Arabidopsis thaliana: one gene and its partners. The protein of the gene in region 4 interacts with the protein of the main gene of each other region in a pairwise test. Each region holds a gene or a part of one and is shown on either strand. Other genes may lie near its edges.

Region 1 (5,428 bases), on a different chromosome or scaffold from region 4:
ACTCACAATTACCTGATAACCATGAGGAAGAAGACGCTTAGAAACAATTTCAGCACTCTGCAAGAACTCAGCTTCAGAGATAGTCCAACAAAAGGAATCGTACGAATTCCATCCTCTTGGAGGAAAGCTAGCATGTTGTTGCCTCGACCTTGCTTCAATCGATAAACTGAAAAAGACGAAACTTTTGTGATTGATCGATCACTCAAACACCACCCACTCAAAAACCAAAATCAAATTCAAAAACCCAGTGAAGCGGAGTACCTAAAAATGGATAGATTAAAGATGATGAAGAAGACAGTGGACCGGGTCGACCCGGTTTTCTCTACGGATAGTCCGGTCATAGAGATGAGAACTGATTACGATAGCTTCTGATTTTGTTTTCCTCTTTTGTTGTTGAGAACCTGAGAGTAAGAGAGAAGACAACACGCAATGGTTGTGTTAATGGCGGGTACTATTAGAGAGCGTGACAAAAAATTAAGAATTGGATTAGTAACCGTTGAGCTAATTTTCTTTTAATTAAAGTTTAGTGCATCAATTTGATCAAATTTAATATAAAAAAGAAACTTTTTTTTCATCACTAGGAACTTTACATAATATCAAAATGATTACAAAGATGGTAAATGAAGACTTCAAAGATTTGAAAGGTCAAAAAAGAAGAAGAAGAAGAAGAAAACTACGAATCTCTATAGTTTGTTGCTCCTCATCAGACAAAATCCAAGACCAAACAAAAGCATCATCATCAAGCTTTACACATGCATGGAGTGAGAGGATTTTCCCAAAGATCATAGTTAGGGAAAGTTTCTTCAGGTAAACCGGTTCGTGTTTGATGGGTTACAACTACATCTTCCACAAAAGTTGCCCATCCCATGTAAGGATCCCCAAATGATTTCGACATCAACCCTTTATCCGGTTTGATTGATTTCTGGCGATGCCCCATATATCTACGCGCTCCGATGATCAGTTTTGCAAAGTTTCCACCGTGTGTCATCACAAATACATCTGATTTCAAGCACACCAAGAAATCTAGAGCCGCAAGACTTGTAACGTGTTTTCTAAACGTTGTTAGTTCCTCTTTGCCTGCTAAATCCTCCTTTGTTACCTGATTCAAAGGACAGTTAATGTGAGAGACAAGTTTGTGCTGATTCATCAAAGAATTATAAGAGTCCGGTGTTGTGCTTACCAAATTTGGGAACATGTTTCTTAGTGGAGCCATACGGTTTTGACCGCCATAGACTTGACCAGATGCAACATAGATTTGTGTTTCTTTTGGATAGCCCATTGCACGTAGGATCACAGCAACTTCTCCTGGCTCAAGAGGGCATCGACCTTCTTTGCGCTTCTGCAAGGCGAGCTGCCAGAGATGGGAACCATTCTGCAATATATGTCAAGAAATTTCATTAAGGTAGCGGTTGAGGTTGTTTAGCCACCAAAAGAAGTTGACAACTGCTTATAAATGTCACCTTGAAACGCCGAGGCCATTCCTTTTGTCTGTATTCTGCCATTTTAACTTTCTCTTCCCTTGTCCCCACAAAATCACAGAACGATAGACCAACCATTCCTTTCTCGAATCTAAGATGAAGAGCCCTATACAAGAGACATGGGTATAGTTTTAAGTTGATATAATGCATATGGTCCTAAGTTATAACAAAGTCGAATCTCTGATATGGCATACATATATGGATTTGGATTTCCAGTGCGATTTCTCATTCTAGAAACAAGTGAATCAGCCATCTGCTCTATCTCTGGAAGAAATTTGAGAGCATGATAATTTACACGGCATCGTAATCTGTTGATTTCTTGAGGTACATTGTCATACCTGAAAAAATTTCCAGCATCACAAGAATAAATCATTCATTGTTTATAAGACGATTTCCAAAATCTGAGCACTAAACTATAGGAATATTGGTTATACCCAAGTCGATCGACAAAAGGCTTCAAGGCCATTATCTTCTTCTCCTTTATCCGAGGTAAAACATTGTCAATATAAAATTGGGCTGCTGCATATTTGGGAATGTTTTTGACTGTTCTTCTGCAGAAGATAAATAAATAACTTGGTCAACATCATATCTGATTAAAAAATACAGATCGATTTTTAAATCAGAGATATACACAAGGAGCACCCAGTGACGCCATAATTCCACAAGCTAACTTTTGAAATCGTCCAACAAGTACATCATCAACAAATAATGAGTTGACAAGCAAACCTTATACTAGAGAATAGCTCTGCTTTGTCAGTGAACCAGTCAGGTATGTCTCGAACAATTCGGACATCATCCTTCAAGTAATCAATGAAATGATCTACATCAAAAATGTCTTCAAATTTTCTGCAAAAGAAAGTTAACAAGCTCAGTAAACCAAAAAGAAAATAGAGAAGTAATTCAAGATGAAATGAAATCAATATCTGAATATGATTTTACGTTGTGTCTTTCCATATTTGGTCCTGCTTCAGTACTGGTAGAATCAGTGTTGCATTCATAATCTTGGCAACAGCTACTGCGTTGCAGATCTGGAAACAAAAGGGCATGAATTCAAGATTGGACGATGGCAAGAAGAACAACAGCCATTTAGACATTGATCCATGATTGGATAATGGCGAGAAGAAAAAGAGATAAAAGTTGGAAGATACATACAGCAATTCGCTGCTGATTCAAACCACCTTCAGCATGAATGAATACATAGCCATTTGTTTCATTCTCAGGAGGAAGATCTGAAAAAAACAGTTGACACAATCTAATAAGCTAACCAAGGAAAAAGACTTGAACTTTCACGAAAAGACAGATCAATAACACATGACAATGTGTTTCGACGAAAAAAAAAAAATAAAAAAAAAAAATAACACATGACAATGAAAATGACAATGCTCTAGCCCTTCAATACCTGAGATTCCACCAATCCGCCGCTCAGCACAAGGCTTCCAAGAAGTTGTTGCAGATAAAGGATTCTCCCAAGGAGAAGGTGACTCTTTTACCTTACAAATGCAAACCAACACACAATTAAATTTACAGGATTCAAAGCTTATGCATTCAACAAAACACATAACCAAAGTTTTCAAACACTTACATGAGGACAGTTTAGCACAATCCCATCTTTTTTACATAAATAAGGAGCATTCTGCAGAAGATAGACATAGAAGCAATCTTAGTCTGAGAACAATGTCAATCCAAATCCACCTAAATAAACAAACCCCTTTACTCAAAACAAAGCTAAATACTTTTCCAAATCGATTCCACAGTTAGAACATAGAGCCTTGAAGATCTCAATTCCTAGATCGAAGGAAGAGACTTACCAAGTGATTAATAATCCCATAAACTGAGATCAAGCTAGCAATAGCGAGAATCAAAATCAATAGAAGCGAGATTTTATTCTTCTGAGGAGAAACCCTAGGATCATCACCGAAGAAAGGAAACAAAGAGTGAAACCAGATCGGACGGTCTCGATCTCTAGAAGGATGACGTGGGCGACCATCTTCGTCGTCTCCGCCGTTAGGAGAGTGATCGTGTACATGAGGCGATGAAGAATCCTCATCTCCGGCGGCACGTAACGGAGAAGAAGAAGATCGGCTACCGAGAGAGCTCGAGTGCCGTAACTCTGCCATTGCTCGCCTCGGACTAAAAGTCGCCAGCTTAATTTCTATATCCTCTCTTCCTTTTCTTCCTCTTCACTTTCTCTGTAGATAGATACAGTGCTTCTTCAGCTCTACTATGTGGACGCTGCCATTTGAGAGAGAGCTTGGAGATTCGAACACTCCACAGAGAGAGAGAGAAATTAAAGAAGCTTTTTTTTTTTGAAAGGCTTGAATGTTCTTCTTTAAAGTCAATACTCTCTGAATCAAACAGAAGATTAGATTTAAGGATATTTACAAAAACATCCCTATATCTCATAAAACTTACATAACCACCCCTATATTAGTAAATTCTCTGGTTTTTATCTCATTTCCTCCATCGCCTCTTTTTTAACCTAGACATTCTCCATCATCACTCAAATTGGCTCTTTGATTCTCTCCGGCGAGATTCCGACCGGTAAGTCGAATTCAGATCCTATCACTGTCTCTCGTCAATCTCATTTACGTTTTCAGAAACATACTTTTTCAGAAAACAAGTAAAAGAGATGAACACGATAGCGAAGCGAGTTACGGGGTTGGTGACTCGTCCGAGTCTAAACCAGCAGTTGCAGCAAGAGCGAGGGATAAGAGTGAAGGTGTTCTCCAATGATTTAGACAAGGCACTGACGATTTTGCAGAAGAAGATGCAATCGAGTGGAATGGAGAGGCTGATCAAAGGGACTCAGACTCATCACATTAAGAATTCGGAGAAGAAGGTTCTCGCTAGGAAGAATCTTGAACGCAGAATCAAATCCATTGACTTTGCTCGAAAACTCCAATCAATCCTCATCAAGAAAGTCAGGTAATGTTTTCTGATTTTTCTCAAAAGCTTCACATTTTTTAGGGTTTTAATGGTGTTGTTTAGTTTAGTAAGATCTTGCGTATTTCTTATTGTTATTCTTTGCAGAGGTTTATGAGAGCTGAGGTGAAGCAAGAGTGCTGCTATGTTGATCAGTACTAGTATCTGTGTGTGATATAACACAGTTTTACATTTTGAACTTTTGATGAGTTGAATCAATGTGGAATTGGAATTTTGGATTTGATTAGTTGTTTACTCTATGGCTTCTCTTTCGTAAGTTTTCAATGATCTTGAGAAAGAACATCAGATCTTAGGAGTACATGTATTGAAAGTTGTTTCAGGGCAAGTGCGTTGCTTCTCCTGCACTCTGTATGACTGTGTTCTGTGGGTCTCTGTGCTTGAATTGTGTTTCTTGTTCCGGCCATGATTACTCTGAGATTGTTCTGCTTTCTTCGCGTGTAAAGCGTAGGTTAGCTCTTTCCAGGCGTTTACACTTTCATTTTATGTATATTCATGTTACTATATACCATGCCATGCCAAAGAATGGGGATAAGAGATATAGGAAGAACAATTGCACCGAAGATCGTGGAAAATACCTTTTGTATGGGTTTAGTTTTCAGTTTGCTTCCAGCTTTTTTACTAGTATCTGTTTGGTCAGGCTCGATTGGTAGTTGTCTTTGTCAACGTTTGCAGTAACCGGCATTGCAGAGTTGGTTTCATGTTTGATGCTGCAGAAATTGAGCAGAGAACAGAGTATCTACCTGCAGAAGCAACGTGTTTCGCATCAGATTTGCGCTAACTAATCTGCGGCCTTCTTGATCTATGGGAGACATATCTTAACATGTTCATAGTTTACTGACATATTCGACAAGTTTTCGTAAGTTGCTCTGAGAATCAACATCTTTCCCCTGGAGTGAGCTGAAGTAGAAAGATTGACATATTCATGACTGTTACTGTAAGTCCTTAACCCTGTCTCTCCTAAAATCGAGATCTTTTTATTTGGGTTTTAGATAAATTGGACCGAGTAA
Region 2 (3,675 bases), on a different chromosome or scaffold from region 4:
AGGGCAATGCATACAGTGTCCTTCCTCTTCTTACCCTGAAAATCCAAAACCCCAATCAAGTAAGTAATCACAGAGATAAAAAGAACAATCCAAACCAATTCTAAACTCAAAAAAAAAAACTTCAGACAAAAAAGTTGTACCCTAACTGAATATGTTTACAAGATCAGACAAAGTAAAAAACATAACTGAATATGTTTACAACATGCTCGTGATATACAGTCAAGACACAGACGATCCAAACCAAGTCTAAACTCAAAACACCCTAACATAGTGACATAAGGAACAAAACCTAACCTTGATGAGAATTGTATCGCCTCGGAAAAGCTGGAGTTTTTCCATGGTAGTAGGATGGAGAGAGACAACAGAGTTGTCATCGTTAATAGCTTCATCGACAACAAGTCGGTTTGGAGACTTCTTCCTCTCTAGAATCGCAGTACTGAAATCCTTCTTAGTTTTCCTGAAACAAATACCCCAGGAAGACAAACAAAATCAGCTTTCAGATGAGATCAAACTAAAAAACCCTATTCTCAATATCGAAAAACCCAAGTAAAAAAATCGAAACTTTATGATCGGAAAACAAAAATCAAAGATCTAAGTACTTACGAGTCGGAGGATTCCGGTTCGTTTGACATAATGATAGCTTAAACTGACAAGAGAGCTCTAAGAAGGAAGTTGGGAAATTTGTTTCTAGAGAGATCGATTGGTGATGATGATGATGATGATGAATGGGATCTCAAGGGAGCTGAACTCGGGATTTTATACGCTCTGTGATTTCCTTCTTGTTGGAAAAATAAGCGACCCTTAACTTTTAAGTTTATCTTGAAAAGTTCCAAAAACTAGGTGTTGTGATAAATACACCCATGTTCCCTTAACATCATATCAATTAATTTATATTATTATATGATTTATCGAGAATCAAAACAAAAATCTACCTATATGAAGAATTAAAAAATTTGATGTAATTTTAAACTTATTTTAATAGTGTGGCGAGGGTACGTAAATGTTTATTAAAAACGTTATGGGGGAAAGTTGAAAATAAAAGTAAAAGAGAGGTGAGGATAACAGTTTTACTTTCTGGTTTTAGCAAACACAAGAAAGGAATAGAAGGTTCTTAGGTAGCGGTACCAAAGCAAGCTACATGTTTTTCTTACTTTTTTATAAATAGAAATTTAATATCTTACCATTTGATTTCTTTGTTCTAAAATAGATTTCCGTTTTTTTTATACGAAGTTATCAACATACGATTCAATTCAATAATTGCAGAAATTTTTGTTTGCATATGAATATATCATCAATATGAAATTCTAAATAAATATTCATAATTATTTATTATACGAAAAAATAATTATTTTCCCAAAAGATAAACCCTTATTGTTGTAAAAAAGTTATCAAACTAACTGAACTTTCATCTAATTAAAAATATTAGTTACTTAAAAAAAAGTTTGGGTTACAAAAGATTAATAGGAATCTAGGATATCATCAATCTAGAACTACGCGCCGTTGTTAGTCTCTTCGATATTAGACGTTGCGCCGTTTTCACTTTGAGATTTGCGATATTATAACTACATGCCGTTTTAAACTCCACTGATCGTCTTCTATTCTAGTTCGATTCTCGACGGAGAATACTCGACGAGAAAATCCAGATCGGGAATCAACTTAGAGAAGAAGAAAATTAAAAAAGAGAACTTCTAAAGATGAATTTGGGGTTCTTAGTTGGAGTTTTCGGCGTTCTTATTCTTTCTCATGCCGCTTATTCAACAATCCAATGTATGTCTACTCTTCCCAATCCAATTCCAGTTCCAATTGAGTCAGATCTACTTTAATTTTCGAGATAGGATCTTGATTTGGGTTTCTCTTGTTTATTTCAGATAGAGGATTGTTGAAGATTATGGAGGAAGAGTTTTCTCGACCACCGATTAATGTGAGTATATAATGATAACGGTTTCTCTTTTCCTCAATTGTGTTTGAATTATATCAGCAATGATTATGCTTTTATATGAATCATGATTGGATTTATTTAAGGTTATTCTGGAGTTGATCATTGGACTAGCTCTGTGTATGTGGGCTGCTTTGACTTTCCCTGGTAAATTTCTCTCGATCCATCCGGATTCTGATGAAAACAGGTTTGTGATCATGTTTCTCTCGAACTCTCTGTTTTGCATCAGTGTTAATCAATCTGAATTCATGTTATCTAGTGAGTGTTTTTACTATTGAATTTTTCTCTGTTCGTACTTTGTTGAACTTGGTGTAGAGTTACTACGGGTCTTATAGAAGCATCTTCTGGCTAGATTTGGTTCAATTATTCAGTTTAATCATGGGTGTTTCTAGTGAATATGTTTTCTTTTGACTGAGAAGGTTTACGGATGTGTTGTTAATCAATTGATTCAAAGAACTTGTGCTCTAGAGATGTTTCGAGGGTCTAGTTTTGATGTCTCTTTAACTCTCTGTTGTGCATCAGTGTTTATCAATCTGAAACATGGAAATTTGGTAGTTATTATATTTCCCGATGATTGAATGACCACCAAAGACTCATGTTTATTGATAAGAAACTGTCGTCTAGAGATGTTCTAGGTCAAACATTGATGTTTCTTTAATACTTTGTGCAGCTAAGGTTTTCTAAAATGCAGGACATTCAAAGGGACATTTTCTAGTTTATATTTGGTCCAGTTACGATTATGGGTTTCAAGAGCTTTAACCAGTTCTGCTCCTGGCTAATTCAATCAGTTTATATTTGTTTCATTGGCTCTTTAGACCCACTTTGGTTCCTTCTATGTCGCAGCCTCTCCCCTACCTTTTTGTACATTAGGTTCTTGAATTGGTTTTGAGTTTGGCTTTTGCTAGATAAAGTGAATATCTCCTGTTAACTGGTTTCTTTCAAAAAATTTGCAGGGCGGTGTTTTTACCAGATAATTCGGATTTCATGATATTCAATCACCGTGGCAGACTGTTCCCACCGCAGATCGACATGAAGTTTTGAATTTTTATCACACTGCTTAGTCAAACACTGATCTGTGTAATGTTATGAGATGTTTCCATTGAAATTCTACTCTAAGTAACTACTCTGCTTTGCATCAATTTTTGATTCTTGAAACGAGTCTTGTGATGTTTCTGTGTGTCAGGTCTCTACTTAGAATCTTTTAGAATGAAGAATCAACATAACAACAAGTGCACAGGTCCTAGCAGGATAGGATACTGTGTAAATAGTCAAATACAAACAATTAAAACAACAAAATTTGCTATTTTATTCATTCCGGTTACAACTTTCTGATACATTAGAAAAAGCATAACCGAACAGAACCGGTTTAGATTCTCTTGGCACTGTTCTGGAAGGTCCAACTCCAAATGTCATGACGTTCAACGCCACGGCCCATGGCACCAGAAAAACCGGGGTACATATTTTGAAGAAAAACCTTAGAGAGATCTAAATGGGCAACGATCAAAGGCTTCTTAGGTTTCTTAACGGTTTCTGGCGCGAGAGTAACTGTAACCTTGGAGTTTCTATACTCAATCCAAGCCTTGTACCTCTCTCCATTACTCAGCTTGAACTCTTTAAACGACCAGTGTTTCATTTTCCCAATTCCTGTCTGAACCCAATAACCAGCTTTCTCAGCAACAACGGAAGTAACAGAGTTGATATTAATCCCGACATGGTTATCATTAATGTCTCCAAAACCT
Region 3 (3,963 bases), on a different chromosome or scaffold from region 4:
CATCTAGCTTTGGTAGTAATGGAATCATCATATGTCGATCAAAGTACTGTAGTTATGGAATGGTTAAATTTGATTCAAGGTCATCTTAATGATGTGCTCATTAGTGGTCCTGTATGTGTTAGCATTTTAGCAACAAGAATCATAAAGAGGACTTTTCTTGCTGGTGCAGGAATGGTGGACATACATATGCCTTGGACCTTCAGATCCTCACCCAAATTGGCATCTGGGGATGCGTGGTACACAGCAACGGGCAGTGATGTGGCGTGTGTGGAAAGAAGGTGGAACCGGGTTCTTGTACTGGGGTGCAAATTGCTATGAGAAGGCAACGGTTCCAAGCGCCGAGGTTATTTTCTTATCCTTAGTTCTGTTGTAAATGTTTCTTGATCGATTGCTTCATGATATTATATAACCAAATGAATAGGTAAAGTTTAGGCGCGGTCTTCCTCCTGGTGATGGAGTTCTTTACTACCCCGGTGAAGTTTTCTCATCTTCTTCAGAGCCAGTTGCTTCACTTAGGCTAGAGCGCCTTCTTAGTGGCTTACAGGTACGTCAACTTTATAGTTTTACCAATCAGATAACAACGAAAAACTGTTCCAGTTGGCTTATTTGGAGAATGAATCAGGATTATGAGTACTTGAAGCTGTATGAGTCAAAATACGGAAGAGAGGAAGCGATGGGGCTATTGGAGAAGACAGGGGTGTACACGGGGCCGGAGCGCTACACTTTGGAACATAGACCGATCGATGTATTGCGAGGAGAAGTGTACAACACATGTAGACCATCTTGAGTAACCAGATCGTTTAGTATCTATAAACACTCTCGGTTAGCCCTAAGTTAATAATAAAAGAACATAACAAGAAAACTCTAACAATGTCTAGATTACCAGTGAAAAAGGTTAATTAGTATGAAAATAATAAAATAGATAGATTTGCTTTGTACTTCTGATTCTTTAATTTGTTGGGAAATACTGTATCTGAAAAAGCTCATTTTATGTGGTGCTAGGTTGATATCATTCATCATAGTCACGTATGAATGGAAGGGCACAAGACATAATCATCCAACAAAAAAGGATATAAAACCTACACTGACTAAAAATTAGGAAAAAATGTTATTTAATCCCCAACTTTCAAAAAATGGCCATTTTATTCGTCAACTTCGTATGCGGTCGTTTAAAACATGAACTAAACGTTGACTAACTTTTAAAACATGATCATTCGTCGACCAGGCCAAAATAGACATGATGTTATCAGTTATTAACGGAACTTCTAACGTCTGTTATCATCTGTTAACGACTTTATTAGTCAAGTTTTAAATTGTGGTCATTTTAAACATCAACTTGGCCATTTAAAACATGAACTAAACGTTGACTACCATTTAAGATATGAACAATTCGTTGACCTGACCAAAATAGACATGTTTTTATCAGTAATTAATAGAACCTAGAAACCCGTTATTATCCGTTAGTGACTGTTAATCAGTCTAAAACGACGTCGTTTGAGAATAAAATTAGTGTCAAAGCGTAAACACACATACAGCCAGCTCTCGGTTCTATCATTAGTGAAAGAACATTACTAGAATTTGATTTATTAGAGGAATAAAGAAGATTGATCAAAAACAGCTTGCATTATTATTCAAAACATAAATCTAGCATATTATAGATAATATTTTTCTTATTGTCTTAGATAAAGTTTCCATTCAACTTTGCACGTCTAAAAGCTCGGAATAGTCCACAAATTATCACATAGAAAAAAACTTATATTCGTGCCGACAAAAACAAACGTTACTTTTTTATATCTGCAAGGACGAGAAAAGAACGGATAAACTCATATATCGTGCACACAAAACATGCGTGTCTTCTACATCTAGAACTGTCGTTACTCGTTACCATCATCACGCCGTTGACCTAGACTCATGCCTATTCTTTAATCGTTTAATATAAACCGTTGGATCCCTTCACACTCCTACGCGTCAAGATCGAACTCATTTTAGGAAAATAATTAAAAAAAAAGACCGAGAAGAGGTAGAGGTATAGGTGGTCAAGTCTTGCCTATAAAAGCTGATCCCAACAAGAATAATTCTTTCATTCACCAAAAAAAACTCATCAATCAAACAAAACTCTTAAAAGCTTAAGAACAAATAATAAAAATGGCCGGTGAAGGAGAAGTGATTGCTTGCCATACCCTCGAAGTTTGGAACGAGAAGGTCAAAGACGCCAATGAATCCAAGAAACTGGTACTTTTCTCTTCTTCTCCTCTCTAGGGTTTCTTCTTCTATTTGATTTGATTACTTTACTTAGGGTTTTCAGTTTTCTTGATCTAGTGGTAAACTGGTAATTCATGTTAGATACAAAACCTTGGTTTTTATCATGTTCATGTACCATGTCTTGATTTGGTCTGAAATTTGATAGAAACTGGTATTTTCTCGTCCTGTCTAGGGTTTTTTTTGTTTTTTAATTTGAGTTGGTTACGTTACTTAGGGTTTAGGGCTTTCTTGGTTAGTTAGCTTAATGGTGAATGATGTTCGAGAAACGGTTGCTTTTGATCCCGTTCTTGTCCCATATCTTGCTCTGGTGGTCCCAAATTGATAGAAGCTAGAACTTTCTCTTGTCCTGTCTAGGGTTTTGTTCAATTTGATTTGATTACTTTACTTAGGGATTACGGTTCGTCTTGATTAGCTACCTTAGTGGTGAATGATAATTGTATCCTGATATGGTCTGAAATTATAGAAACTTTACTTTCTCTTGTTATGTCCAGGGCTTTTTTTCAATTTGATTTGATTACGTTATGGTTTAGGGTTTTCTTGATTAGTTAGTTTAGTGGTGAATGATGTTTGTGTTCTGATTTGTTCTGAAATTTTGATTGAAACCAGATTGTGATAGACTTCACAGCATCATGGTGTCCACCTTGCCGTTTCATTGCACCAGTGTTTGCAGAGATGGCTAAGAAGTTCACTAATGTTGTCTTCTTCAAGATCGATGTTGATGAATTGCAAGCTGTTGCTCAGGAATTCAAAGTTGAGGCAATGCCTACTTTTGTTTTCATGAAAGAAGGCAACATCATTGATCGTGTTGTCGGTGCTGCGAAAGATGAGATCAATGAGAAGCTGATGAAGCATGGTGGTCTTGTAGCTTCTGCTTGATTGATTTCAGTTTCTAACTCTTTGCATCATAATAAAGTTTTTATCTTTCGTATGAAATAAAAGTGATGCATTGCTACTGCACATTTGTATTATAACTATGTTGATTTTTCGATTACTGGTTTGTTATCTCTTGGCTTCAACCACGAACACGAAAATAGCGACACACATTAAGACTGGTTTTAAACACGATAAGAGAGCGTAGGTTGAAAATATGTAGTTATGAACAGAGCAGTGATTAGTTCTCTGATTTCCACTATAAATGTGTGAAAATGTTATGTAATACTATGGAAAAATCACTTTCAACAGCTCATATTTCTCCATCTACGTCACGTCTATATCTCTTTAAGTTCCTTGAAGTTTTATCCAACGTTTCTCTGTTTTTATCCTTGAACAAGAACTGAAACAGAGAAAACAAGAGAAGATGAAGCTGACCTGTAGATTCAAACATTTCCCTATGCTCTTTAGATCCAAAGCCAGCCGCTCGTTCCCTCTAGGCGCGTCAGAGTAGGCCTGTCGATGGGACTAGCATAGACACATAGTGACTCTACTTGAACAAGCGTCAGACTGCATACAGCAGGTTAGAGCTGGTAGGACTTGGTTAGTGATCCACTACAAAAATAATCCATATCAATAGCACACGAGGATAGATCAGTTTTCCCTACTGCAATAAAAGATGAGTTCATAGTTCATATTAAAAATGAGTTCATAGATGCGGCACAGAGAGATGATTCGAGAACAAGTGAGGAGATAACGGATTTAACAATACGGTTGAAGGAGGCTTATATAGATGAAGAACAATATTGGTACCAGAAAAGTAGGAGTTTA
Region 4 (5,062 bases):
TACTACCACTTGGTTGGATAAATTATTTTCATCACATTGTCGGTAGAGAATATCACATTGTACAAACTAAAAAACGTATTATTTTTTCTCATATAACCAAATCTAGAAAGTGTAATTTGGTTATAGCTTAGATGTCGTTTAGCTAATAAATATAGAAATAAAATAATAGAGAAAGGAGAGTTAGTGATGAATGATTGAAATGGTGAATGATAATTGGAGAAGTGGGCCACGTGAGAGAAGCATGTACTTTTGGAAAGTGGGTCATTTCGAAGCTCTTCCTGTCTCCATCCACATGAAGTTGGCATTCTTGTGTCTTTACGGCCTAAGTTTGCGTTTCTACCTCTTGAGAAATGAATCTTGCCTTCTTGTTTAGTGACTGGTACGGATCTAATAGTAACATGACACCATCTCATATTTCTGAATTGGACGTCTTTGAATTGAATACCATAACCTAGGTTATAGTCTACACCTACAATATTACGTGCCGATAGATCAACATGCATGATCCGTATAGTTTAGTGATCTCGTTACGTCGTTATATCAATTGGTGAAAATCATCAAGTGTTTTTTTAGGAGTGATGAATTACTGGTACATAAATTTTACGTTTCGTTTAGATTTTGGAAGACCTTGACGACACAGTGGTAGATGTTGGTAAATGGATAACGCATGCAACAAAGAAATAACGATACAACAACAATAATGATGACTTAAAAGAAGAATAAAATAAATAAAAGTGGCAGTCATAATTCATAAAAGCCTAAGCTAGGAAATTCTTATGGTAGACCAGAAGGGACACCTTCGATGAGTAAAATCTGCCGCACCACAATCTTACATCATTCTCATCCCCTAAACTTGGACCTCCTCCATTAATAAATAAGAAAGCTGCAAACGTTAATCTTCTAATTGTGATTTTGTTACAAGTTTTATAGATTCTTTGTTCTATCTAGCTACATATATTTCATACATTTCACTAATTTACAAATATGTAAGAATGTAATCAATGTAATCGACTAAGAATACATCAAACATTACCAAATTTGATTGACATTTACCTCTGTCTATTCGTCCTCAACATTATTATCCCATACGTTCATACAAATTGACATTTTACACTTAATTTTGAATATCATGATCAATACTCTCTCGCATGGGATACTTAATCAATTGTTGGATTAAATATTCTTTCGCATCTTTGTGAACGCAATTAGTGGGTGGTTTGGGTTCCACCTTTGGATCCTGCCTTTATTCCACATAAAGTAGATCACTGGTCATACTCATATCCTTACGGACAATAAACTATTGTTATTGGTATTGCCGTATTATTGTAATTCTATTCATAGGTCTACTTCCAAATCTTTGAGATTTTTTTTTCATTGGGGAAGTAAGATAGATCTCGCAATTTATGCTCGTAAGCTAACATTATTTGGGCCTTATATGGGCTTTATGTTAAACTGATAGTTAATAATGGACCTCCAATAGTTATTCTGTTAACCGTTACTTCCCGTTAGATTATGACATCCTCACTCAACCAATACTTAAACGCCACATGTCGTCACATCAGCCACGACCTTAAAAAAAAATCAATTCCTCTCTCTTAAAACAAAGAAGAAAAAAACAGAGAAGAAGAAGAAAAAATCTATCTCCGCCATGAACGCGAGAGCTCTTCTTTGCTCTTCAAATATTCACTCTCTCTACACTTCAAATCGTCCACCTGAAAAAACCTCTTCTTCTCGCAGCCTCCGTAATCTCAAACCATCTCCAAAGTCGTTACGGGTATGGATCTACCCGCGAAATAGGTCCAGTGTTTTCCGGGTATTAGTTCGGAGCTCCGACAAGAGTGAAAGCAGTAATTCGTATTACGTAGAAGGAGATAAAGTAAGTGGAAACAATGACGTCGTTTCTGATTCGCCTAGCTCTATCGTCCTCCCATGGTGGGAAGAGTTTCCGAAGCGGTGGGTGATTGTGTTACTCTGTTTCTCAGCTTTTCTTCTCTGCAATATGGACAGAGTAAGTAGCAAAAAAGATTGGATTTTTATGGATTGGGAAGAGTTATTCAATTTGGGACAGATGATGTTTTAACAGGTGAATATGAGTATAGCTATACTTCCGATGTCAGCTGAGTATGGTTGGAATCCAGCAACAGTTGGTCTGATTCAGTCTTCTTTCTTCTGGGGTTACCTTCTTACACAGGTAATCTTTTTTCCCTGATTCCTTAATTAGGGTTTCTATTTTTAGATGATCAATGTTTTTTTAAATGAGTCTCACTAGCTTTCACATTTAAATCAAAAGTGTAGTTGAATCAGTGGTTTGTTGATATTATAGATAGCTGGTGGAATTTGGGCAGACACTGTAGGAGGGAAAAGGGTTCTTGGATTCGGTGTTATTTGGTGGTCAATCGCTACAATTCTCACTCCTGTAGCTGCTAAACTCGGTCTTCCTTACTTGCTCGTTGTTCGTGCTTTCATGGGAGTTGGAGAGGTTTGTGATTACTCTTAGTGATGTTAGATATCAGTCTCGGATTTGTGTGTGTTGATAAGGAGAAGTAAGTTCTCATTTGTGTTCTCCAGGGTGTTGCAATGCCTGCTATGAATAATATATTGTCGAAGTGGGTTCCTGTGCAAGAGAGAAGCAGATCACTCGCGCTTGTTTACAGCGGAATGTACCTTGGATCTGTCACCGGTTTAGCCTTTTCGCCTTTCTTGATTCATCAATTTGGATGGCCTTCTGTGTTTTATTCTTTCGGGTCTCTTGGAACTGTATGGTTGACTCTGTGGCTAACTAAGGTCAGACTTTTTCTACTGTTCTTAACTATTTGTAGATCCCATATCTCATTACCATTGACGATTTGACGTGTGTTGTTACTTGTTATAGGCAGAGAGTTCACCATTAGAAGATCCAACATTGCTCCCTGAAGAAAGAAAGCTAATTGCAGACAACTGTGCTAGCAAAGAGCCAGTGAAGTCGATCCCGTGGAGGCTGATATTGTCGAAACCACCGGTTTGGGCTCTCATCAGTTGCCACTTTTGTCACAACTGGGGAACATTCATTCTCTTAACATGGATGCCAACTTATTACCATCAAGTCCGTTATATTACTGTCTTTTAATCAAGAGGCTTGATGTTTTATTTGTTTTCTTATCATTAATCATATGGACGGTTGTGAGGCAGGTGCTGAAGTTCAACCTTATGGAGTCAGGACTTCTCTCTGTATTTCCATGGATGACAATGGCAATATCTGCAAATGCCGGTGGATGGATTGCCGATACACTTGTCAGCCGAGGTTTCTCTGTCACGAATGTCCGCAAGGTACTTTGTATATCACTTCTTCTGTTCTTCAGTTCCGTTTTGATGCAATCTAGTAAAAGTGATACATTCGATAATCAGTTTCTATGATGAAATTCAGATAATGCAAACAATAGGGTTTCTTGGACCAGCGTTCTTCCTAACACAGCTGAAACACATAGATTCTCCTACAATGGCTGTTTTGTGCATGGCTTGTAGTCAGGGGACTGATGCGTTTTCACAGTCTGGTCTATACTCTAACCATCAAGACATCGCTCCAAGATACTCTGTAAGTTTAGTCAATTACTCCCAAGTCTTAATGAATCATGCTACTCAAAAGAAAATGGATTAGCACATTGATGTTGTTGGTCTTCTCAGGGAGTGTTACTTGGTTTGTCTAATACTGCTGGAGTACTTGCCGGAGTTCTTGGCACAGCTGCGACTGGTCACATACTACAACACGGTCAGTACTCTCAAAACACTTCGTAATTCTGACAATGCTTTGCTTAATCTTTATAAAATCTCTTCTAAGTTTCATTTTTTTTGTGTTTTCTCAATGGAATTAACAATGACATGAAATGCCTCAGGTTCTTGGGATGACGTTTTCACGATTTCGGTCGGTCTTTACCTCGTTGGGACCGTCATTTGGAACCTATTTTCAACCGGAGAGAAGATAATCGATTGATCCATTCCGAGAATAGTAAATAGTTCGGCTCCAAGACCTCTCATCAGGTGCAACTTCACCTCACGCCAGTCTCTGATTATACAAGTATCATTGCAGTCTGAGAGCTAGCCGGAATATTCCTTTTTTGCCAGAAAATTCTTCAGGATCTTTCTGCTCGTTGATTTAGGCCAAACGCATATGAATAATACTTTGTAGATGAAAGATATACAGATGATTTTTTGTAAATAAACAAAGCTCACACTTTCTCAAGATTACTCAAAATCTCTCTTCAGCTCTATATATATTTGTATCATAAAGATATTACACGCAATTCTCTAATATGCTATTGCGTAGCAAACAAGTGACCAAGAAAGAGTTTTCGAAACTTAAGGTCATAACTAAAACTTAAGATTTACTGCCACAGGTAGAATTTGATCTTGTGAAGGAGGAAGAGGAGTTTATGAATTGTATGCAGTCTTCTATTGCCGCTGATCTGTGATTATTATCATTAACGACAGAGATGACTGAAGGCTGAGATATCCCAGAAGAAGAAGCCTTCTTCAATGGTGGAGATCTCTTCTTCTTCTTCTTCCTCATCACCACCAGACGTAAGCCCATAACGAATTTACAGCTGAGATCTTTGATCAGTCTTGCTGCTGTGCATTCCGTTTTCCTCGGTAGCCTCAAACCACAGCTTGTTGTGCATCCCGGATTCTTATAATATGGTCCCTTGACTGAGGATTGCTTACCAGGAGTTACTGGTCTAGTGTTTGCATTGAACCGTTTTGTTCCTGTAGCTGACATATCAAGAGAGAGTGAGAACAAACTTGAGGAGAGTAAGGGATTATATTTATAGGGATTGATGCTGAACAAGTTGCCTATAAGAGTTCAGGTAGAGACCAGAGAAGCCATGATTCTTAATAATGTATCAATAATGACATGTTAACACTTAAAGCAATGATTACTGTAGACATTCAAAACATATACAAATAAAATATAAGCAGGTAGGTTCAATTTCATACTTACTTTAGATACTTTATGTCAAAAGGATTGTAATAACTAACAGATCTAAAGATATCAGAAACTTAAACGCCGAAATTTGGAAAGCAAAGGCAG

Evidence for each region.
Region 1: the proteins of PHT4;1 (region 4) and AT3G26370 interact in a protein complementation assay, tested with the Arabidopsis thaliana proteins (one large-scale study listed by BioGRID).
Region 2: the proteins of PHT4;1 (region 4) and AT5G03345 interact in a protein complementation assay, tested with the Arabidopsis thaliana proteins (one large-scale study listed by BioGRID).
Region 3: the proteins of PHT4;1 (region 4) and TRX5 interact in a protein complementation assay, tested with the Arabidopsis thaliana proteins (one large-scale study listed by BioGRID).

Annotation. Positions count from the first base shown.
Region 1 is NC_003074.8:9,655,053-9,660,480, reverse strand, and holds AT3G26370 (O-fucosyltransferase family protein), read right to left. Parts: upstream 3,802-5,428; 5' UTR 3,596-3,801; coding exon 3,287-3,595; intron 3,112-3,286; coding exon 3,061-3,111; intron 2,969-3,060; coding exon 2,878-2,968; intron 2,708-2,877; coding exon 2,631-2,707; intron 2,507-2,630; coding exon 2,418-2,506; intron 2,325-2,417; coding exon 2,205-2,324; intron 2,030-2,204; coding exon 1,913-2,029; intron 1,817-1,912; coding exon 1,673-1,816; intron 1,585-1,672; coding exon 1,461-1,584; coding exon of another isoform or gene 1,398-1,460; exon of another isoform or gene 1,373-1,397; coding exon 1,181-1,372; intron 1,100-1,180; coding exon 740-1,099; 3' UTR 536-739; downstream 1-535. Other genes in the region: AT3G26380 (Melibiase family protein), read right to left, coding at 13-166, 262-341; AT3G26360 (Ribosomal protein S21 family protein), read left to right, coding at 4,108-4,403, 4,509-4,518. UniProt on the Arabidopsis thaliana protein: Glycosyltransferase involved in the biosynthesis of pectic type-II arabinogalactans.
Region 2 is NC_003076.8:812,502-816,176, forward strand, and holds AT5G03345 (membrane magnesium transporter-like protein), read left to right. Parts: upstream 1-1,583; 5' UTR 1,584-1,694; coding exon 1,695-1,771; intron 1,772-1,868; coding exon of another isoform or gene 1,869-1,872; coding exon 1,873-1,921; intron 1,922-2,022; coding exon 2,023-2,214; 3' UTR 2,215-2,806; intron 2,807-2,889; coding exon of another isoform or gene 2,890-2,977; 3' UTR 2,978-3,118; downstream 3,119-3,675. Other genes in the region: AtCDC48C (ATPase, AAA-type, CDC48 protein), read right to left, coding at 1-35, 295-457, 604-632; AT5G03350 (Legume lectin family protein), read right to left, coding at 3,303-3,675. UniProt on the Arabidopsis thaliana protein: Mediates Mg(2+) transport.
Region 3 is NC_003070.9:17,074,439-17,078,401, reverse strand, and holds TRX5 (thioredoxin H-type 5), read left to right. Parts: upstream 1-1,984; 5' UTR 1,985-2,145; coding exon 2,146-2,232; intron 2,233-2,868; coding exon 2,869-3,138; 3' UTR 3,139-3,460; downstream 3,461-3,963. Other genes in the region: AT1G45150 (alpha-1,6-mannosyl-glycoprotein 2-beta-N-acetylglucosaminyltransferase), read left to right, coding at 170-343, 422-544, 623-787.
Region 4 is NC_003071.7:12,672,590-12,677,651, reverse strand, and holds PHT4;1 (phosphate transporter 4;1), read left to right. Parts: upstream 1-1,574; 5' UTR 1,575-1,648; coding exon 1,649-2,008; exon of another isoform or gene 2,009-2,083; coding exon 2,084-2,191; intron 2,192-2,323; coding exon 2,324-2,479; intron 2,480-2,568; coding exon 2,569-2,784; intron 2,785-2,872; coding exon 2,873-3,082; intron 3,083-3,168; coding exon 3,169-3,306; intron 3,307-3,384; coding exon of another isoform or gene 3,385-3,393; exon of another isoform or gene 3,394-3,403; coding exon 3,404-3,571; intron 3,572-3,660; coding exon 3,661-3,745; intron 3,746-3,869; coding exon 3,870-3,967; 3' UTR 3,968-4,351; downstream 4,352-5,062. Other genes in the region: AT2G29654 (uncharacterized protein), read left to right, coding at 191-373; JOSL (JOSEPHIN-like protein), read right to left, coding at 4,352-4,743. UniProt on the Arabidopsis thaliana protein: Specific for inorganic phosphate transport across the thylakoid membrane in a sodium dependent manner. Binds glutamate but cannot transport it. May act as an ascorbate transporter at the thylakoid membrane.